Rattus norvegicus: one gene and its partners. The protein of the gene in region 1 interacts with the protein of each later gene in a pairwise test. Links are inferred from orthologs where the notes say so. Each region holds a gene or a part of one and is shown in the gene's direction. Other genes may lie near its edges.

Region 1 (4,147 bases):
CAGTTCTTTTGACGTATGTGATGCTGGAGTTCTGAGCCTTTTATTATGTTTCTTGATAAGTTATACAAGAAAAATTTCGCTTATTCTATTTCCTTATTTCATATTTACTTTTGCTTCATTTCACCTCTTTTATCTATATTCTTTGATAATGTTCCTCTTAGCTTGTTTTATTGTTGTTGGCTTTATTTAGTGGAGAATAATATTTTAATATTTTGAGTTGGATGATTATATCAAAAGCATTCAGAGTTTTTTTAACCTTAGTTTGTAAGACTGCCTGTAATAAAATTATTTTAGCAAGCATAATTTTAGTTTTGGAAAAAAGTAGTATATTAAATATTATAAGACAACATGGTTATTACTAAAAATAAAAACCCACAAATAACTACACTATAAAATTTAGTATGACACTATAGTAAGTAGATGTAGCATTGTAGAACTATATATGAAATTATTAGTCCAATAGTATATATCTGCAAAACGAAAAAACAAAACAAAACAAAACTGCGGCTCAATGTGGAAATGGAAATGAGACACTTTGGTGCACAAAGAAGAGCTTGTATTATGAAAAGCTCGGGAGAGCAGAATGGGATGAAAAGGAAGGCAGGGAACAAAGGGTCTCCGAATCCAACCAACAGAAAAAAGTTAAAAGCCTGGGTCACTCTCAGACCTTGGCTTATTAAGTCTTCATCAGGGCTAGACAAAGTCTAGGCTTCTACTTTGTTGTGGGGTGGGTGGGGATATATAACAAAGGCAGGAAAGTGAAAGGCTCTGTCTGACTAGCCTCAGGGCAGAGGATTCCCTTCTAATTAAAGTGCACGCAAATTAACCCTTCAAGGAAAAAAGACCCAAAGAAATTGTGTCAGATCTATAAGCGTCAAAGGAGAAATGCTTCGGCGGGGGGGCCCCTTTTCGATTTAAAAAGTAGTCACCTATAAACAAAAGACAGATTGAACCGAAAAATATTTTTTAATGTTTATGAGTGAAATGTTCTATAAATGTCAATAGCAGCCGATGGCAAAGGCAAGGATTGTAGCGTTTTCTTAACTGAAAACGAAAATAAAATGCAATGTATACAACCGAAACCTGGAGAGATTAAAACATCAACCTTCAAGGAAAACAGTGTGGAAACGGGGGTTGGGGAGTTCAGAATCGCTCTAAGAGAGCCGGCAGAAGCCGATTCCAATATCTTAAGCGGTTACCGGTACGGGAAAAACATGGCGGAAGCAACTTCCGGTGAAGCACCGGAAAATGGTGTTACAACCGGAAGTGTCCGGCTGCCTGTAAGCAGGTAGGAACCAAAGTTCTCAGGGAACAGGGAGCAGGTGGGAAGACAAAAATTGATGCACTTCTCTCCGAGAAGAAGCTGATCGGACCATCTTCAGCTCCGCAATTCAAGCACAAAAAAGACATAATATTCGGGTTTTTGGACAGTGTTAGAGGCACGCTGCGTGATGGAAGAGTCTACAGCTCCCATGGAAGCCTACGAGGCCGCCGGCGCCGAGGCAGGTGCTGAGGGGGGGGAGGGTGTGTCTGCCCCCCCCCCTCCTCAGTTTGAGGCTTCTGGAGCTTCTGCGGTAGCCAGCTCAGCCCCTCTGCAAGAGGCATCGGGCCTGGCACCGTTTCTTATGGCTCCAGTCCCTGCGAACCGGCGCGCGGCGAGTTTGAGACCCGCTCCAGCCGAAGGGGGCGGGGCCAGGTCTGGTCCGGAGCGCAACACAGGCAGCTGGACGAAGCAAATCCTCTGCAGGTATTATCTGCATGGGCAGTGCAAGGAGGGCGATAACTGTCGCTACTCTCACGACCTTTCTGGGCGGCGGAAAGCTAGGGGGGGCCAAGATTCTCAGCCTCGGGCCTCTGCAGACAGAGGACCCAAGATGGCCACTCACTGGGAGCCCCCGACTCAGGAAGTGGCGGAAGCCCCCCCTACTGCATCCTCAAGCTCCTTGCCTCTGATTGGCTCGGCTGCTGAAAGGGGCTTCTCGGAAGCTGAGATTGACAATGCAGGCATTGGCTCAGCTGCTGAAAGGGGCTTCCCTGAAGCTGAGATTGACAATGCAGGCCTTGCAGCAGGTGCTGCGGGAGGAGCGGGTGCAGAAGGCTGGGAGGGGGCAATTGAGTTTGTTCCTGGACAGCCGTATCGAGGTCGCATGATCCCCCCGCATGGTCCCGAGGCTCCTCTGCAGAGCCCGGAGATTGAGAGAGAGCATATGGCTATGGGCATGGGAATGCCGCTGCCGCTTTGCCGCTATGCTGCTCGGGGACAATGCCTCCGTGGGGACAGGTGTGCATACCCCCATGGAGAAATATGCGACATGTGCGGGCAACAGGCCCTGCACCCTTGGGATGCAGCTCAGCAGGAAGCTCATAGAAGGGCCTGCGTTGAAGCACACGAGAGAGATATGGAACTCTCTTTTGCTGTGCAGCGCAGCATGGACAAAGTGTGTGGCATCTGCATGGAGGTTGTCTATGAGAAGGCCGACCCCAGCGACCGCCGCTTTGGCATCCTTTTCAGCTGCAACCACACCTACTGTCTTAAGTGTATCCGCAGGTGGAGAAGTGCCACACAGTTTGAGAACAGGATCAGTAAGTCCTGCCCACAGTGCAGGGTCTCCTCTGGCTTTGTCATTCCTAGTGAGTTCTGGGTGGAGGAGGAAGAGGAGAAGGAGAAACTTGTTCAGCAATATAAGGAGGGGATGAGCCAGAAAGCCTGCAGGTATTTTGCTGGAGGCCTAGGTCACTGCCCATTTGGAGAATTCTGTTTTTACAAGCATGAATACCCCGAGGGCTGGAGAGATCAGCCTCCGAGGCCAGATGGTGGTGGATCGTCCAGCGCATACTGGCATCAAGTTTTGGAGCCTGTGCAGTTGCGAGAGGGAAGCGTGCTGTTTAAAAGCCGTAAAAAGGAGCATTCCGTGCTTCGCCTGGCCAATCAGTTGCTTAAGAAGTTGCTTTGCCTGCGAGGCAGTTTTTCCATCTCTGATGACCGGTGGCTCTTGCTTCAGTACCAGCTGGAAGAATATTTCAATTTGAATCTGTAGTATCACGCTGTGGCATGTGGTCTGGTCTGCTAAGGCTCTGTTGTCTGCTGTTGCTTATTCCCCTTTATCGACTGACTCAAAAACCCTATCGCTTTCAAAGGCTGTTGAGGCAATCTTTATGCAGTATTGCTGTTTTCTCCTCTATTTCCCATTTCTTCTCGCTAGGATTGTGATGTTTCTCCGTGTTACAAAATAACAAGAAATCTTATAAGTATTGTTTGGTGGAATTAATATTTCTGTCAGCTGATGACTTGTGATGTCTTTTTCCAACAGGATTCAATCACTTCTAGTCTAGTGTTTACAGTTTCTCATTGTGAAGTCCCTTAAGAGTAAATGTGACAAGGTGACAAAAGTCTTTAACTGAATTATGAGCTTTTTGCTATATAGCCTTAAAAAAAAAATGGACCCTTACAGGACCTTGCAGCTGCTGTCTGTGTTTGTTTACATGTTTGTTTCTTCTCTTTCAAGTGCACTTGTTAACTTGTGGTTATTTTGTGGTTCTGTTTTACTTGACCAAAATGAGGTGCATATGTTTACATGTTTTTATCCTGTTTGGCTTGATGTGAAATTATTTATATTTGGAAATATATATTTAAGAATGATATATATGCGTATATGTATACAAAGATGTATTTGAAAAAACTGGAAACAAATATACATCGTAATATATGTTTGAAGTAATGAAATAAATGTAGAGCTGAAAGCCTAATGTTAAAGTCCAAGTGTATGGGCTGTATGTGAATTGTGTGGATAATTACCTGCCCTTGCACTGATGTCAGTGATTAGCATCTAATAAAAATGACTGCTATGTGTGTATCTGACTCTTTTTAATGGATTTACAAAACATGACTTTGAAAATTTCTATGATAACATTAACAGCTTCTCTATAATGAAACAGTGCCTCACACGAAGTCACCATCTCATTTGTCTTCACAGTGACAATTCCTGAACTCAAACATACATTTCTTTGTTTTTAATATCTTAAATATCTGGTTATTGTATATTTTATAAGCAAAGAACTTTTAAGGAAAGGTTTTCAAAATAAAAGTTATGTGACTATGAAAAAAATAGTAATAAGTATTGACGTCAGACAGGGTATAAGAATGGAA
Region 2 (3,512 bases), on another chromosome or scaffold:
GTGTGCTTGCTTTCCCACAGCCTTTGTGTGACGGTCCAGCACCTCAACTAGAGGTTGCTACTGGATTCTTCAATGTGTGTTAGCGTGCTATTCACCCTTATTTTACTTTTTTTTTTTTTTTTTTAAGATTTATCCATTTATTATATACGAGTACACTGTAGCTGTCTTCAGACACCAGAAGAGGGCATCAGACCTCTTTACAGATGGTTGTGAGCCACCATGTGGTTGCTGGGAATTGAACTCATGACCTCTGGAAGAGCAGTTGGGTGCTCTTAACCTCTGAGCCATCTCTCCAGCCCTATTTTACTTTTTTGAGGTAGGGTTTCTTTGTGTAGCCCTGGCTGTCTGGAGCTAGCTCTGGAGACCAGGCTGGCTTTGAATTCACAGAGATCCACTTTCCTCTGCCTCCCAAATGTCTCATGCCATCACTGCCCTGTTAGCATTGTAAATATTTCAGTATTAGTGAAGCAAATTTTAAATAAATAATTGTTTCATAAAGACCAAGGTTTTTGTTGTAAATATATTCAGGACCATGACTAAAATTATAAGATTCATTTTTATTTCTCATGATGTTTGTGCTTTGTTGTGGGTATATGAGGTCCATGTGGGAGCCTACAGAGGCCAGAGAGCATCAGGTCCCCTGGAGCTGCAGTTTCAGGTTATTTGCTAGCTGCCAGCATGGTGCTGGGACCTTTGCAAGAACTATACACACAGATTAATTCTGAGCCATCTCTCCAACCTCAAGTATAATGTTTTAAATAAAGATTTGTTCTAGTTTGGAATATTATGGATTGAACAGAATTCTTGGAAGGCAATTTATCATTATTTATCATTATCATTATTTAGCATAAAACTGGTTAAGGGCATGCACTGCTTGTTCTTCAGTGGTCCAAGATGAATTCCTGGTACCCATGGTGGGTGGCTTACAACTGTGTAACTCCATCAGGAGAAGATCAGCCTCTGTCCTCTATGCACCTGTTACTCATAGTCACATACACAGACATAATTAAAAGTATAGAAAGTCCATGTTCAGTATTAGTAACTTAGATTTATGTCACTTCACTGTGAAATATGGGTAAGGGATTGAGAGGGCTCACTTAGTGGTTCTCATAGAGGACCAGGCTTTGGGTCTCAGCATCCATAGAGTGACTCAGAAACATGTCTACCTAGTTCTCACCTCCGTGAGCACCAAATATGGGTCCATACATACCTGCAGACAAAATCTAAGAAAAAAATGAAGACTGACATCAGTAGATAAAGCTTACAGGGTAGGTAAATAAAACAAGCAGAGAAAAAGCAAGGTCAGGTCAGGATGAGGTGACTTGAATTCTTAGAAATTGGCTTGTAAAAATAAAAATTTGGCAGTTATACAAACTACAATTTTTAGTTCTAGTATATTTTGTTTCAGTTCAGAAAACAGATGCCATTTATGTCATTCAAAGTCTTTTTAACTGGAATATTTTTCAAATTTGAAATTTAGGGCAGCAGCAATGACTCTGCGCACAGTATTATTGTCATTGCAAGCACTGCTGGCCGCTGCAGAACCAGATGACCCCCAAGATGCAGTAGTAGCAAATCAGGTAAGAGCAGCTGAAAGGCTCTTAGAGCTCTGTGTGCAGCGCTGACGTTTGATGTCAGCATGTGAGAATTCTCTGTTGGGACTAAATTTGGAAGTAGATTCTTTTAATGGAATAATTTTGTCACGTATAATAAAATCATGTCATATAATAAACAAATAACAATAAACAAAGAATAAACAAATACCGGTTAGGAACCCCACTTTTCACTGATGTCCAGATCTCTGCATTGCAGAAGTTTTTCATGATTCAAGCTCTTCGTGAACACTTGACTCTACGTGCTGTTCTTGGCGTTCATGAGTCTTTGCGATTGTTCTTATGTCATTGTGTTGCTTTCCTCGCTTCCTCTTTAAGGAAACATCAGCCAGCCTTTGACATTGTAAAAATGTCCCTTTAAAATGTTTTTTAGTTTGGCTGGAGAAATAGCTCAGCACTTAAGAGCACCGACTGCTCTTCCAAAGGACCCAGGTTCAAGTCACAGCACCCACGTGGCAGCTCATAACAGCCTGTATCGCTAGTTTCAGGGGACACGGCACCTTCACATAGACATATATGCAGGCAAAACATGAATGCACATGAAATAAGAATAATTTTTTAAAAACGTGCTTTGTTAATGTGTGCTCACAGCACGTGGCTACAGGTCAAAGGACAACTGTTCCGTCCTGTACTCGTGTCCTTGGCTGCTGAGCTGTTGTTTCAGCTCAAATTTCTTTGTCCTCATGGCTGTTTAAGGGGGTGAAAAAAAAGACTTATTTTTAAAATTCTGTTCCTGTGTCTCCGGGTATGTTTAAGTGCTGGGAGTACCTGTAGATGTATCAGGAAGGTTCTGGATACCCTTGAGTTGAAACTAGACCACAAATGTTGGTGTTGGGAATTGATTTCTGGTCTTCTGAATAACAGCAAGTGTTCTGAGCCGTCTGTCCAGGCCTTCCTTATGGCTTTAAGTATCTATCTGCTTATTCTTTTTGATCATGCTCCCTCAGTTCCACTGCTAGACTAAACTGCTTGCAACTACCGCCTCTATTCCTTAATATTTGGTAGCAATCTTTCCTGAAGTTTAGCTCTGATTTTCCTGCATATTGAGATTAAATTGAGATATAAAATAAAAGATCACTTTTGAAAAAATTATTTATGTTATGCGCATTGCCTGAATGTATGTGTCTGGGGGTATTGGATCCTAGAGGCACAGGCAGATGTGGACTTCCATGTGGTGCTGGGAATTGAACCCTGGTCCTCTCGAGTCCAGCCAGTTCCTTCAACCACTGAGCCATCTCTTGTCTTCCATAGCTGACTTTTAATACCTAAAATAATGCTTGTGTTGTTTGTTAAAAAGTATTGCTTGAAATACATTAGGTACATTGTCTTACTTTAAGATAGATTAGCCTTTTGGTTTGCTAAGAGCTGGCTATGAGTCAGAAGCCCTCAATCTTAGCACTCTATAGTTAGAAGTTGGCAGATCTCTAAATTTGAGGCAAGTCTGGACTAAGTAGAGATAGCATGTTCTATGCTAGACAGTGCTACAAATTGTGAACTGTTGTATAGAGAGAAAGCAATGTCAGGGGAGAGGTACAGTGGATTTACTCAGCCTCTGCTCGTGCTAGAGAGCTGGATGGCTCAGGTCTCAGCCCCCACAGCGGGTAGCTATTACTGTCCTCTTCTTGGCCTTCCTGGCATTTCAACATGTGTTCATCTACACAAACAATGTAAAACAAATTTAAAAATGGTACTTTGATAAGAAATATTAAAATGAATTTACCTTACCTTTTTCAGTTTCATGTGTGAAATCTTTTCTCGAAGGGCTCTTTTGTGAGTTTTTAAATTGTCTTCAAAAGTAATGTAAGTTAGACCTTTGAGTGTTCTGTTTACTTTGAATTCTGTACAGTACAGCTCTATGCATCTAGCTGTCTGTCAGAACTTGAGTTCTGCCTAGAAGCA
Region 3 (4,228 bases), about 53 Mb from region 1:
TTTTTATAACATTTTTAAAAAGAAATCCTAAAAGTAGATGTGCTAATTTGGGTGCTTTAAAAAAACTATTTTATGTATATGAGTGTTTTACCTATGTAGAAGCACAACATGTATGCACAAGTGTCGCTGAAACCAGAAGAAGCCAGATCCCCTAGAGTTACAGATGGTTGTAAATGGCACTCTGCAGTCGGTTCCCCAACTATTTTAAAATCAGCATTTAATTACCCATTCATTCAAAATCCATTGTTCATTCAGCAATACAAATTATTTACCTAATATGTGTTAGGCACTGTGCTGGTGCTGGGCAAACAAAACAGCCCTATCTATCAATTTAAAGTTCAATCCCAGAATCCACACAGTGCAAGGAGATAATCACCAACATTGTCTTCAGACTTTCACATAAGTGTATGCAGGGACACAAACACACAAAAAACATATGTAAAAACAAAAAATGTACATATATACACATACATAAAGATATTTAGAATGTGATACTAATTACTGTGAACAGAGACATTTAAGTGATGTGTTACTCCTCCTTTGAAGTTCAGATCCTTAAAGACCTGACTCTATTCTTCAACAGAACTGGCAGTCTGTAGATGTTAGGTAGATCAGTGAGCACAGAACTGTCTTGATTTCGTTTGGGGATAAATCAAAAGATGCTCTTTAAAAATCCGTAAGAAAACTCGCACCTTCCCCCTAGTGGCCTAATCTATCATATATGGCATTTGGTTGTGGACAGCGAAAATCAAATATCAGAACAGAAACCTGGTCCTACAATGGCAACTAATGATCACAAAATGAGTAATACGACCACGAGACACCAAGGAGCCTTTAAGGATGGGCTCGCCAAGTACTCAAGATATTCAGGGGCCAGGACCACAAACGAACGAACACACACACACACACACACACACACACACACACACACACACACACACACGAGAGGGTTTGGGGAGTGGGAAGAGGGACAGGGGGAGAGGGAGAGAGAGAGAGAGAGAGAGAGAGAGAGAGAGAGAGAGAGAGAGAGAGAGAGAGAGAATGAATGGTTCTGTGGCTTTTTCTGCAACCTCTTTCAGTCGTGCTGCTTCCCAAACCTCTGGGCACTGTGATGAAATCTATGCGGGTCCGCCACACCATCCCTAGCTGGGGGCGATGTTCAGTGGAGTGGACCGAGAGTTGGCGGGAATCTGCAATCCACTGGGGGGGGAGGGGGGAAACACGGAAACACAGCGCTTGACATGGAACCACGCCCCCAACCCTCTCTGCGCACAGGCATTCCCGGGTTTCCCACCAATCCCATTTTATCTGCTTTCGCAGGCCCCGCCCACCCAGAGCTGGAGGGCGGGGAAGCGTTAAACGCTGATCCGTGGCTCTGGGATAGACTGCACTTCCTGCGTCGGCGCCGTGAAGACTCCGCAGCCTTCTTTGACGATCACCGAACCGTAGTTGAGGCCGTGTTCCTGTGTCCGCTGCTGTGTCTGGTTGTAACCTCGCCGGAGCTATGGTGTGTTGAGCCCCGAGTCCTCGGAGGGTTTGGGGCTGAGGTCAGCTGACCTGGTCGGGGATCGGCCTCTGTTCCCTGAGGCGCGGGGCGGTGGGAGAGGGAGCTTACCTCACGGACATGCTCCTGCAGTGATTCAGCATCTGCGGCCTGGCCGGCGGGAAGCGATCAGTAACCTAGGCGGCCTATCGCGCAGCTTCTCCACTTTGCATGGGGTCCAGGCGCTTCTTTCTCGGCCAGCCAGTCGTCCTTCCCTCCCAATTTACTTAAGTGGCCTATTCCAAGATGCTGTATGGTCCTTCGTGATCTGCATAGGAGAGAGACTATAGGGGTGAAAGGGTGCATCTGGCATCGTCAGTGCAGACCAGAGCCTGCAGTCAGGTCTTCAGACCAAGTTCATCTTCCTTGTGGGTGTATTTGGCTTTATCCGTCTCATTAGAGTGCCGTAGGGAAAGGCTCCATACAATCATTTTGTTTTGTTACCTAGAGATGAAAGAGAAAGTGATAGAATCAGGTTTACAACGTAGGGCCCTGGGCTGCTTCTGTCGAGTCTGCCATGCAAACTCTTGGTCTTTTTACCCTCATGAATATTATACTCCCAAGGGCCGACAAACTTGCTTTAGTAATGACATTATAGCTATAGTGGTTCTGCCACGGTAGCTATTTGTGGCCACCTTTTTACTGAGAATTCGTGTGTTTGTTCATCCAGTGGTAAAGTACAGGAAGAAAGCTCAAAGCTAAGCCAAACGTAACTTTAATCATACTATAAAGATAAAAAGGTATGTAAAAGACCGGGTGTTGTGGTGCTTGAGTTTAATCCCAGCACTCAGGAGGCAGAGACAGGTAGAATTCGTGAGTTTGAGGCTAGCCTAACTCACAGTGAGTTCCAGGACAGCCAGAGTGTAGAATCCGAGTCGGAAAGAGAGAGAAGGGGGAAAAATATATATAGTTGAGCATGATGGCAGACACCTGTGATCTGAGCACTTGGGAGGCTGAAGCAGGACTTCAGGATCATTCTCCCAGGTATATAGCAAATGAAGGCCAAACTGGGCTGCATGAGACTTTAGCTCTGCTGGAAAATTGTGCTGAGAATTTTCGGAAAAAAGAAGAAACCTTCAAGAGATAGACATTTAAGTCGACTTAAAGAAAAGCCCTTTGCCAAATTATTAGAGCCCTGTGTAAGAGAGTAGTATGAGCAAAGTGTGCATTCTTTAGCACTTGACTGCCCGAGGGAAGTGCTATGGAGAATGGCAGAATATGAAGGTAGGAAGACCCTAGTCCATTCATCCCGACAGCCTGTACATGATTAAGGTAGAATTGCATTGCAAACTGAGCACTCTAATAGTGTCTCAGGAAAGCTGCACTAGCAGAGAGGCTTCAACAATTGAAACACATGTCTTATTGTTAAAATTTGAAAATTGTAATGTTCTCATATTAATCTTTCTTCCACTTTCAGTTTCGCAACCAGTATGACAACGATGTCACTGTTTGGAGCCCTCAGGTAAAATGTTTTATGACCTATTAATGAAGTGACTTTTCATGGCTGGAGTAGGGTCAGAAACCTGTGAGATCATAAACTGGGCTTGGAGGTTCACATTGTAATCTTTTAATTGGTCAGGAGGCCAGAGCCATAGGATCATGGAGTTGGTGGGCAGTTTGAGCAACTTAGTGGAACCCTATTTTAAAAAAGGAAACAAAGCTTGTGAGCTTATGGGCTACAAGCTTAAAGTTAGAATTAAAATTAGTTTATTGGTTTCAAAAAGTGAAAAATATTATTTTGTCTTTAGGGCAGGATTCATCAAATCGAATATGCAATGGAAGCTGTAAAGCAAGGCTCAGCGACAGTCGGCCTGAAGTCGAAGACACATGCAGTGCTGGTCGCGCTGAAGGTGAGTGACATGATGACCCTATCTTCCTCCCTCAGGAGCCAGAGCTATCAAATGTAAATTTCACTGATAAATAATCAACCTCCAAACTAAAATGCTGTGTCTATTTAGAGAGCACAGTCAGAGCTTGCCGCTCACCAGAAGAAAATTCTCCACGTTGACAACCATATTGGTATCTCAATTGCGGGTCTAACTGCTGATGCCAGACTGTTATGGTATGTATGATTATGAAAAATTAAGCATCGCTTTTCGTTTTTAATAGACTATTTTATTAAAAAATACCTAGATAAGATATAGGAAGTCATCTCCCAGAATATTATACTTTTTAATTGTTTATTTGTGTGGGTGTTTTATCTTCATGTATGTATGTCTGCACTAGTGTGTGTCTGGTTTCTTCAGACCTTAGACTCCCCTGGTATTGGGGTAACAGAAGATTATGAGCTTCCATGTGGATACTGGAATTGAACCTGGGACCTCAGGAACCTCTGAGACAGTTAAGCTATCTCTCTAGCCCCCAGAATATTAAAATTTGTAATATTGTAAATACCTTAGTGGGCTTGGGTGTGTAACTAAGTATTTCTATTTCCTTTTTTTTTTTTTTTTTCGGAGCTGGGGACAGAACCCAGGACCCAGGGCCTTGCGCTTCCTAGGCAAGCGCTCTACCACTGAGCTAAATCCCCAACCCCATATTTCCTTTTTTTTTTTTTAAGATTTTATTTATTTTATGCATATGAATACAGCTTCACTGTCCTCAAACATACCAGAAGAGGGCATCGGTTCATTACAGGTGGTTGTGAGCCACCATGTGGTTGCTGGTTGAACTCAGGACCTCTGGAAG
Region 4 (3,512 bases), on another chromosome or scaffold:
GCGGATCGGCTGGCTCATTGTGATTAGCTCTTACCAGCTGTCTCCTTTGTCCCTGCTGGGCTTAGGTCCTGCCCTCCAGGATCGGACTTAGAGACCCTCGGAGGGGGCGGAGTCTGCCAACTCCACAGTCAGAGCCTCAGTTTATGACAGTGCGTCTGGTTTCGGGAGCGCTGCCCATTTTTCAGGTGCTGCGAACCCGTTTGATCTTTCCAGCGGTGACCCGAAGGCACAGGGAGGTCTATTTTTAACTGGGTTTAATAGGTAGAGGAACAGTCTTTTAAGAGCTGCCTCTTGTGCGAGGTGCAAGGCTGGTGGGAGAACGGGGACCCTGGTGTCTACCAGACCAGGCTTGGGAACACAATCTGCCTCCCCCCCATTTCTTTGTAGTGTTAGGTGGTGGGTATAAAAGCAAGGTGCTGGTGGGGGGAGCTTCTGCCCTAGCCCTGCCCCTCTGACCTCCTTCCTCTTTCCCAGGTGATGTCGGGGAGGGAACTGCCTCAGCCACCACCAACGGGTTGGACTGGTTTGGGTGGCAGAGCAGATGTGGGGGCTAGGGAGGTGAGGCAGGATCTGGCTACCTGAACAGGACTCTTAACAGTTCTGCTGGCTAGACCTAAACCACTTAAGGTCAGTTGAGGGTCTGTTTGTGTGGGCCAGCCTTCTTTTTCTGCCCAACAACCTCTTAAGCCTTGGGAGAAGCCTTCCTCCTATCCCCCAAAACTTCCGTGGGGGCTGGGGAGAGCAGATAGATCTGTAGACATACTATGCTTGCCCTGTACTACTTGTCGTTTTAAAATGGTGATGGAATTTGCTCACAGTTAAAAACCTAGAGAAAGCTAGTCTTGGTTTGCTGGTGCTAGTGACACTCCACCCCTCACCCTGGACCTATCCGCCTGTGGTGGGCGGGGCCACTCTAGTTGACTGGTGTGCTGGTCCTCAGCTGACTCCCGTGAGCATTTTAGTTCAGGACACACTTGTGGAATATCTAGCATGTGTTGAGAGCCACATCATGAAGCTGAGACTCAGTGAACAAAGCAGCCAAAACCTGTGCCCTCGTGGAGCTGACATTTTTGGAGTTGGGGACAGCAAAGAAAGAAAGATTCATATCCACAGTAAGTTATATGGTACCAATGGATATAGTGAGACGAGATATAGGGTGTGTGTGTGTGTGTCTGTCTGTCTGTCTGTCTGTGTGGTACGTGGAGAAGTGATGTGGTAGGAATTAGTGTGTTCAAGCTAGGCTTCATGGGAGTCTGCTTTTTAAATCTCTGTGACCTAAGGAAGTCACTTCCCAGAGTCTCAGTTTTCCCAGCTACAAAATGGTAACAGTGGCTTTCAGGCTCTTGGAGGTGGTAGGAAAGTAGCTGTGAGCGTCTGGCACACAGGCACACAGTGGAGAGCGTTGTCTTGAGATGTCTGGCTGTTCCGGTGAGGCTCTTCTGTGTTTGGGCATGCTCTGGCCCAGTCTGTCTGGTATAGTACCACGTCCCATGTGACCATGGAGAACTTGAGGTATGGCTAGTGGCTGCTGAGTGATCTCAACTGCAGATGCCCTTGGTTTGGAATATGGGTTTTACCTTGTGCATATTTGAGGGGCCTTGGGTATGGGGAAACTGGCACTTTCTGACCCTCTTTCCTTGGAAACAGAGATGGCAGGGTTGACTTGCTGTAATGGTCTAACATCTGACTCTTAGATAACCATGGGGACACTTGAGCACCCAGACATGGGCCCTGCAGCCCATGAGCACTGTCATGGTGGTTGGTCAGCAGCATAACACTTGGTGGGGCTGTGACCTGGATAGGTCTTTGCACCGGCATAGCTTGGGGCTGATGTTTATGCCTGTCCACATGCCTGGATCTCCATGGGCTTGGCCTTGAAGCCATATCTTGGAAACTACCCTAATCTGGACTCTACGGGGTGGGGGTGGGGCCTTTCTGCCTCTCTCTCTCACAGCCTTTTGTTTTTGTGCCCCTTGTGGGCCTGGCATGTCCAGGCAGGTGGTTGGCACTGCGCAGCTTCCTGCCTGGGCTAGTTGCGGGATGTTGGTGGTATCTGGATCTCTGTGCAGTTCAGGTGGGATGTGGATGATGGTCATTCAACCCCAACTGCCCGGTCGCTAGTAGCCCCCTCTCTTGGAAGTAAGGGGTGGCTTAAGCAAACCCATTGCCCCTCGAGCTTCAGTTTCCCAACCCCTAAATGGAGCCATTGAGAGGACCCCCTTTTTTTTCTTTTCTTTTTTTCGGAGCTGGGGACCGAACCCAGGGCCTTGCACTTCCTAGGCAAGCGCTCTACCACTGAGCTAAATCCCCAACCGAGAGGACCCTTTTTAAAGTGGACCTGGCTTCTCTACCACTTTTCTCTCCCTCAGCTGTGCGGGTCCCGCCCACTATTGGAGGGAAATGCCGTGGGTGGGGCCATAGGCCTTCCCGGAGTACATTTTGCCTGGTGATTGGCTCTGTGAGAGGCAGGGGCGTGTCCTTTACCTTATAATAGCTCAGGCTTCGCCGCCAGTGAGCCTTTGTCTGAACGTGCTCAGCCTGTCTTCTTTCGTTGCTTGCAGCGGAGCCCCGTATCCAGCTGCCAACTTTGTGCCTGTATCTGTCTTCTCGCCTCTGCCCTCGGGGTATGTAACGGCCATGCCCGTGGACACGCTGAGCCCGGGAGCCCCCACCACTCCCGCTTTACCTTTTCGCCTGCGAACCAAGGTCCCCGGCTACCTGCTACCAAGGCCAGCAGATGGGGGAGCCAGGAAACCGAGTGCTGTGGAACGCCTGGAGGCTGATAAGGCTAAGTACGTCAAGAGCCTGCGCGTGGCCAACACCCGCCAAGAACCTGTGCAGCCCCCGCTCGCCAGGCAGCCCCTCTTCAGCCCAGGTTCTCGCGGCCCAGTGCTCACACCCAGTCGCCGAGTCCTGCCCTGTTCTGGTCGCCGGCCCCAACTGGACCTAGACATCCTTAGCAGCCTAATCAACCTGTGTGATAGTCCCGTGTCCCCATCTGAGGCCAACCGAACACCTGGACGGCCAGAAGGATCTGCCCACAAGGTCCCACCAGCCACCCCTCCTCGTCCGCCTCCTAGTACTGTCGCTGTGCGCCGAGTGGATGTTCGTCCCCTGCCTGCTTCACCAGCTCGCCCCTATCCATCACCTGGCGCCGCTACCACTTCCAGCCCGGGCCGGCCCCCTGGTCTGCAACGCTCCAAGTCGGACCTGAGTGAGCGCTTTTCCAGGGCAGCAGCCGATCTTGAGCGCTTTTTTAACTTCTGCGGCTTGGACCCAGAGGAAGCACGAGGATTGGGGGTGGCCCACCTGGCAAGGGCTAGCTCGGACATCGTGTCGCTAGCCGGGCCAAGTGCTGGACCTTGCAGCTCTGAAGGGGGCTGCTCACGCCGCAGCTCTGCTACAGTGGAAGAGCGGACCCTAGAGCGGGTCCCCTATGGGGTGTCTGTGATCGAGCGAAATGCCCGTGTGATCAAGTGGCTGTATGGGTTGCGGCAGGCACGCGACCCTCC
Region 5 (4,100 bases), on another chromosome or scaffold:
AGGAGCCCCTACACTCTTGCGTTTCTTGGCTTTTTTGTGCTGTTTAGATGACAGCGAGGATTCACTGTGGCTGCCTTCTGGCTCCTCCTTCTGTAGCAGCAGCCCTGGTGGCAGTTCGGCCTCTGCCCTAGGATGGGCATGGTAGCTTTGCCCTGGGAGGGCTGGGGTACTCAAGCCTGGGACAAGAGGCCTGAAAGAGGTAGGCTTCAGTCTTTGGTTCCTGTGTCTTGAACCTAGGGCTTACCCCTGCCTGTCCACCAAGCCACACTAGAGCTAGTTAACTGTCCATTTCTTAGTGAAGTTCCAAACCCAACAGGGGCCCAGCGTTCAATGGTAGCTAAGTCTCCTACAAGACTAAGAAGCCCCAAATCCACACCCCCGCCCCAACTGTTCTAGAGAAACAGGAGCTGGAGGTGAGGGCATTAGAAGAAAACAAGGTTCTTTGCCTTGAAGGAATTGGGATTTAGGAATCTCCAGGTCTAAGACCCACCTCCCCAGCCTTTCCCCTTGAAAGCCCTCTCACTTTCTCTTGGGCCCATGAGCTGGCCTCACGATGGATGATGTAGGCTTGGGTCCTCTCTCCTCTCCTGCTTCCACCCCTGGATTGAGCCCTTCCTCTCCCAGGTTTATTCCTTCCTCCTGGAGCTCTGGCTCTAAGCTGTGTCCTACTGGACACCTGTCTTCACCTGGAGTGCTGCAGGTCTCGTGTGCTGGCACCAGACACTCTTCTGTTCCTGGACACTAGAAGACATACATAGGTAACTGATAGCCCATGGTCAGGCAAAGCCCAAAGCTGCTGCAACTGGGGCATCTCTCTTGGTTTGGGGGCCTCTCCTAACTACATATTGGCCACAGAATAGGAAATCTTAGGTCCCTCTACCTGCAGGACTTGGCCTGGCAGTTAGAAGGTTGGGTCACCTAGAGTCCTGCTCTTCTGCCCTACCCCTCCTCCTCCTGAGCTTTGAAATGCCCAAGTCACCTCAGGGATCTCTGCAACCTGGGCTAACCCTACTGCTGCCCCATTCTGGGCTTCTGGCTGCCTCTTGGCCCCTGCTGAGGCCATGGCAGGAATCAATGCATCCCTCGACGGTTGCTCAGAGAAGACCGCAGGCCCAGAGCAGGGCTGGACCGGTGCTCAGTGTTGGTAGGGGAGACAGGTTGAGAGGTAAGGATCCTGTTGCGACCCGAGACTTAGACTCGCTCCTCATCTGGAACTACAAACCCCAGAAGGCATTTCGCCTTAGTCATTTGACCCCTGACCTCAGGAAGCCATTTGTTGCCAAGCAACAGCAACTCCTACCGACTTGCTACAGTTGGCGGTAAAACTGCTGCAGTGAGAGTCCACGCTGGGGCTTTGCAGGGGGAGGGGCCGCGAACCCCTCAGGGCCGTGTGCTAGTCGCGGGGCGGTGGTACGGGCTGAGCTTAGGAAACGAGCGGTAGTCGAGGGGTGGGGGTCAGTGATGGGGGGTACCACGGGGCTACAGAGCTCGGGTGGAGGGTGGAAACACCCGACAGGGATTAGAGGGGACATTTGCACAGCGCAACAGGTCCTGATGCACAGTTGCAGGGCTACGGTAGGATCATGTGCGAGGGCCCGTCCCGCATCTCTGGACCCATCCCCCCAGACCCTACTCTCTGCCCGGACTACTACCGGCGGCCGGCCTCGGGTGAGTTGCGGGGTGCCGCGGCGGGGCGAGTACCCCGCCCCACCTCTGAGCACGGCTTTCCACCGCGTCTTGCTCTTCAGCCCAAGGACGCCTGGAAGGAAACGCGTTGAAGCTGGACCTGCTGACTTCAGGTCGCGACCTGGACTCCAGCCCTCCTCGTGGCCCTCGCATCAGGCCTGGAGCCCGAGAGATCCTAGAGCGTGGCCAGCGAGGTGTGGGGGACGTGCTGCTGCAACTGGGGGGCATCTCCCTTGGTTCAGGGGTCTCTCCTAAGAGTAAGTCCTTGCAGACGGGGTATTGAGGCATTCATAGGTCAAAAGCAGAGATTAAAATAGGGTGCTTCTTAACCGCCTTGAACCCATTCAGTTAATGTGTTTTTCTGGGTCTTAATTTCTCTAGCCTAAAAGAAGGGCAAAATACTTCTTGCAGGATCAGAGTTCATCCTTCTGCAGAGAGCTCCAGCTTCAAGCTTTCACACCTTGATAGAACAGTTCCCTTAATGCCTACTTTGTGCCAAGCCCTATGGTTGTTAGGAAAACAAGGTTAAAAAGTATGGGAGTTGTCCCAGGGTAGGGTAACACCCAAGGGGGGCTTCCCCTTCACTGAAGAGAAGGGAAGGGGGTAATAGGGAGCCGGATATGACAGGGGCAGGACTGGGGTGGGGGTTACAATTGGGATATAATGTGAATTAAAAAATAAGGGGCTGGGGATTTAGCTCAGTGGTAGAGCGCTTACCTAGGAAGCACAAGGCCCTGGGTTCGGTCCCCAGCTCCGAAAAAAAAAAGAACCAAAAAAAAAAAATAATAAATAAATAAATAAATAAATAAATTTTGGGGAAAGAAGTAAGGGAGTCAATAAACAAGACAGGACATATGTATAATATACTCGGTGATATCATAAAATGTAGAAGGTAATCACAATTTCTGTGTAAGGGAATAAGCTGCTAATGTTGCTGTGTGTATGGCATTCAACTTCCATGTAGAGGTCTTGGTTGTATTTAAGAACTTTGTGTGTGATATTGGAGATTGAACCCAGGGCTTCTCATATACTGGACATCTCCCAGGGGTAGGGTGTGAATCTGTATGAGATCTAGTCTGAGTTGCACAGCCATTCGTAGGGCTGTTCCTAGCAACATTCCTCCCCTCCTCCAGGGAAGGATCCAAAAGACCATGAGAAGGAAAACTTGAGGCGGATCAAAGAGATTCAGAGGCGATTCCAAGACCAGGAACGCAGCCGGGAGCAGGCCCAGCCCAAGCCCCTGAAGGCACTGTGGCGCTCACCCAAGTATGACAGTGTAGAGTCTCGAGTCAAGGCCAGGATGAAGGTATCTGTCTCAGGCAGGCGGACATATCCATCTTGGCCAAGGCAGTTATATCTAATCTAACTTACGGGGTGTGTGTGCGTGCGTGTGTGTGTGTGTGTGTGGTGTGTTCACAAAGACTAAGACATCTGGTGGACCTTCTCTGAGGAACTGATGGCATCAGGGCAAGTGAGGATTAGGCTAGAGGAAGAAAAGGTTCCCCAGAGATGAAACCCCACAGGTAGGTAAAAGTTCTGGGCTCAGGGAGTAGGGGCAATGGGCATATAGATATAATTCTATTTGTAGGGGGAAAGCAGAAGGTTAGAACAGAAAGCCAGTTAAATACATATCTGAAAGAACTACCTAAGTTACTTATCAACATGTGATATTGGAGATTGGATCCTGGGGCACACGCACACTGGGTACTCATAAAATTATATCCTCAACCTTCCTACTAATTCATTCTCAGTTTCTCTGTCTCTATCTCTATGTTTCACGTAGCCCAGGCTGACCTCAAGTTCTTTGACTTTCTGATGCTCCTTTGTTCACCTACCAAGTGCTGGGATCAAAAGTGTGCGCTACCACGCTGCTTTCTCTCTTCTTTTTCTTTTAGTTAATTACTTTTTTGAGATTAAAAAAGACCAAAATTATGTGTCTGGGTGCCTGCATGTATGTCTGTGCACCACAGAGACCAGAAGAGGGTGTGGATCTCCCGGAACTGGAGTTACAGAGAGCTGTGAATTGCCACATGATACTGGGAATGGAAGCCACATTCCCGGGTAGAACATCCAGTGTCCTTAACTGTTGGGTGCTATCATACCCCACCACCACCACCACTTCCACTGCTACTTTGTTTCTAGACAGGGTCTCACTGTGTAGCCTAGTCTAACTTCAAACTCCTGTAGCCCAGGCTGGCCTTGAACTGGCATAATTCTCCTTCCTGTCTTAGCCTCCCAGATGTGGACAAAATGGGTTTGGACCACCACTCCCAGATGATTTCTCTCTGAGTTGGTAGCTTGCTGTTTAGCCTTAGGCTGTCCTTGAATTCTCTCTGTAACCTAGCCTGGCCCCAAACAGTTACTTCTGCGTCAGCCTCCTGAGTCCTGGGACTGTAGGCATGTACCACTATTTC

The links.
Region 2: the proteins of Mkrn3 (region 1) and Ube2k interact in binary tests that used the Homo sapiens proteins (3 or more experiments, as listed by UniProt). The link is inferred for Rattus norvegicus from reciprocal best matches to the Homo sapiens genes MKRN3 and UBE2K.
Region 3: the proteins of Mkrn3 (region 1) and Psma1 interact in binary tests that used the Homo sapiens proteins (3 or more experiments, as listed by UniProt). The two-hybrid records come from large-scale screens. The link is inferred for Rattus norvegicus from reciprocal best matches to the Homo sapiens genes MKRN3 and PSMA1.
Region 4: the proteins of Mkrn3 (region 1) and Fam110a interact in binary tests that used the Homo sapiens proteins (3 or more experiments, as listed by UniProt). The two-hybrid records come from large-scale screens. The link is inferred for Rattus norvegicus from reciprocal best matches to the Homo sapiens genes MKRN3 and FAM110A.
Region 5: the proteins of Mkrn3 (region 1) and Enkd1 interact in binary tests that used the Homo sapiens proteins (3 or more experiments, as listed by UniProt). The two-hybrid records come from large-scale screens. The link is inferred for Rattus norvegicus from reciprocal best matches to the Homo sapiens genes MKRN3 and ENKD1.

What each region holds. Positions count from the first base shown.
Region 1 is NC_086019.1:125,338,371-125,342,517, reverse strand, and holds Mkrn3 (probable E3 ubiquitin-protein ligase makorin-3), read left to right. Parts: upstream 1-1,339; 5' UTR 1,340-1,451; coding exon 1,452-3,038; 3' UTR 3,039-3,854; downstream 3,855-4,147. UniProt on the Homo sapiens protein: E3 ubiquitin ligase catalyzing the covalent attachment of ubiquitin moieties onto substrate proteins.
Region 2 is NC_086032.1:43,016,704-43,020,215, reverse strand, and holds part of Ube2k (ubiquitin-conjugating enzyme E2 K), read left to right. Parts: intron 1-1,480; coding exon 1,481-1,580; intron 1,581-3,512. UniProt on the Homo sapiens protein: Accepts ubiquitin from the E1 complex and catalyzes its covalent attachment to other proteins. In vitro, in the presence or in the absence of BRCA1-BARD1 E3 ubiquitin-protein ligase complex, catalyzes the synthesis of 'Lys-48'-linked polyubiquitin chains.
Region 3 is NC_086019.1:177,885,046-177,889,273, reverse strand, and holds the start of Psma1 (proteasome subunit alpha type-1), read left to right. Parts: upstream 1-1,416; 5' UTR 1,417-1,504; coding exon 1,505-1,507; exon of another isoform or gene 1,508-1,987; intron 1,988-2,960; coding exon 2,961-3,005; intron 3,006-3,291; coding exon 3,292-3,393; intron 3,394-3,501; coding exon 3,502-3,605; intron 3,606-4,228. UniProt on the Homo sapiens protein: Component of the 20S core proteasome complex involved in the proteolytic degradation of most intracellular proteins. This complex plays numerous essential roles within the cell by associating with different regulatory particles.
Region 4 is NC_086021.1:160,935,395-160,938,906, reverse strand, and holds part of Fam110a (protein FAM110A), read left to right. Parts: intron 1-51; exon of another isoform or gene 52-185; intron 186-940; exon of another isoform or gene 941-1,112; intron 1,113-1,199; exon of another isoform or gene 1,200-1,498; coding exon of another isoform or gene 1,499-1,512; intron 1,513-2,561; coding exon of another isoform or gene 2,562-2,637; coding exon 2,638-3,512.
Region 5 is NC_086037.1:50,503,610-50,507,709, reverse strand, and holds the start of Enkd1 (enkurin domain-containing protein 1), read left to right. Parts: upstream 1-1,293; 5' UTR 1,294-1,583; coding exon 1,584-1,668; intron 1,669-1,748; coding exon 1,749-1,943; intron 1,944-2,819; coding exon 2,820-2,992; intron 2,993-4,100. Other genes in the region: C19h16orf86 (uncharacterized protein C16orf86 homolog), read right to left, coding at 1-190, 524-741, 980-1,063. UniProt on the Homo sapiens protein: Microtubule-binding protein which regulates microtubule organization and stability. Promotes the stability of astral microtubules and facilitates the proper orientation of the mitotic spindle.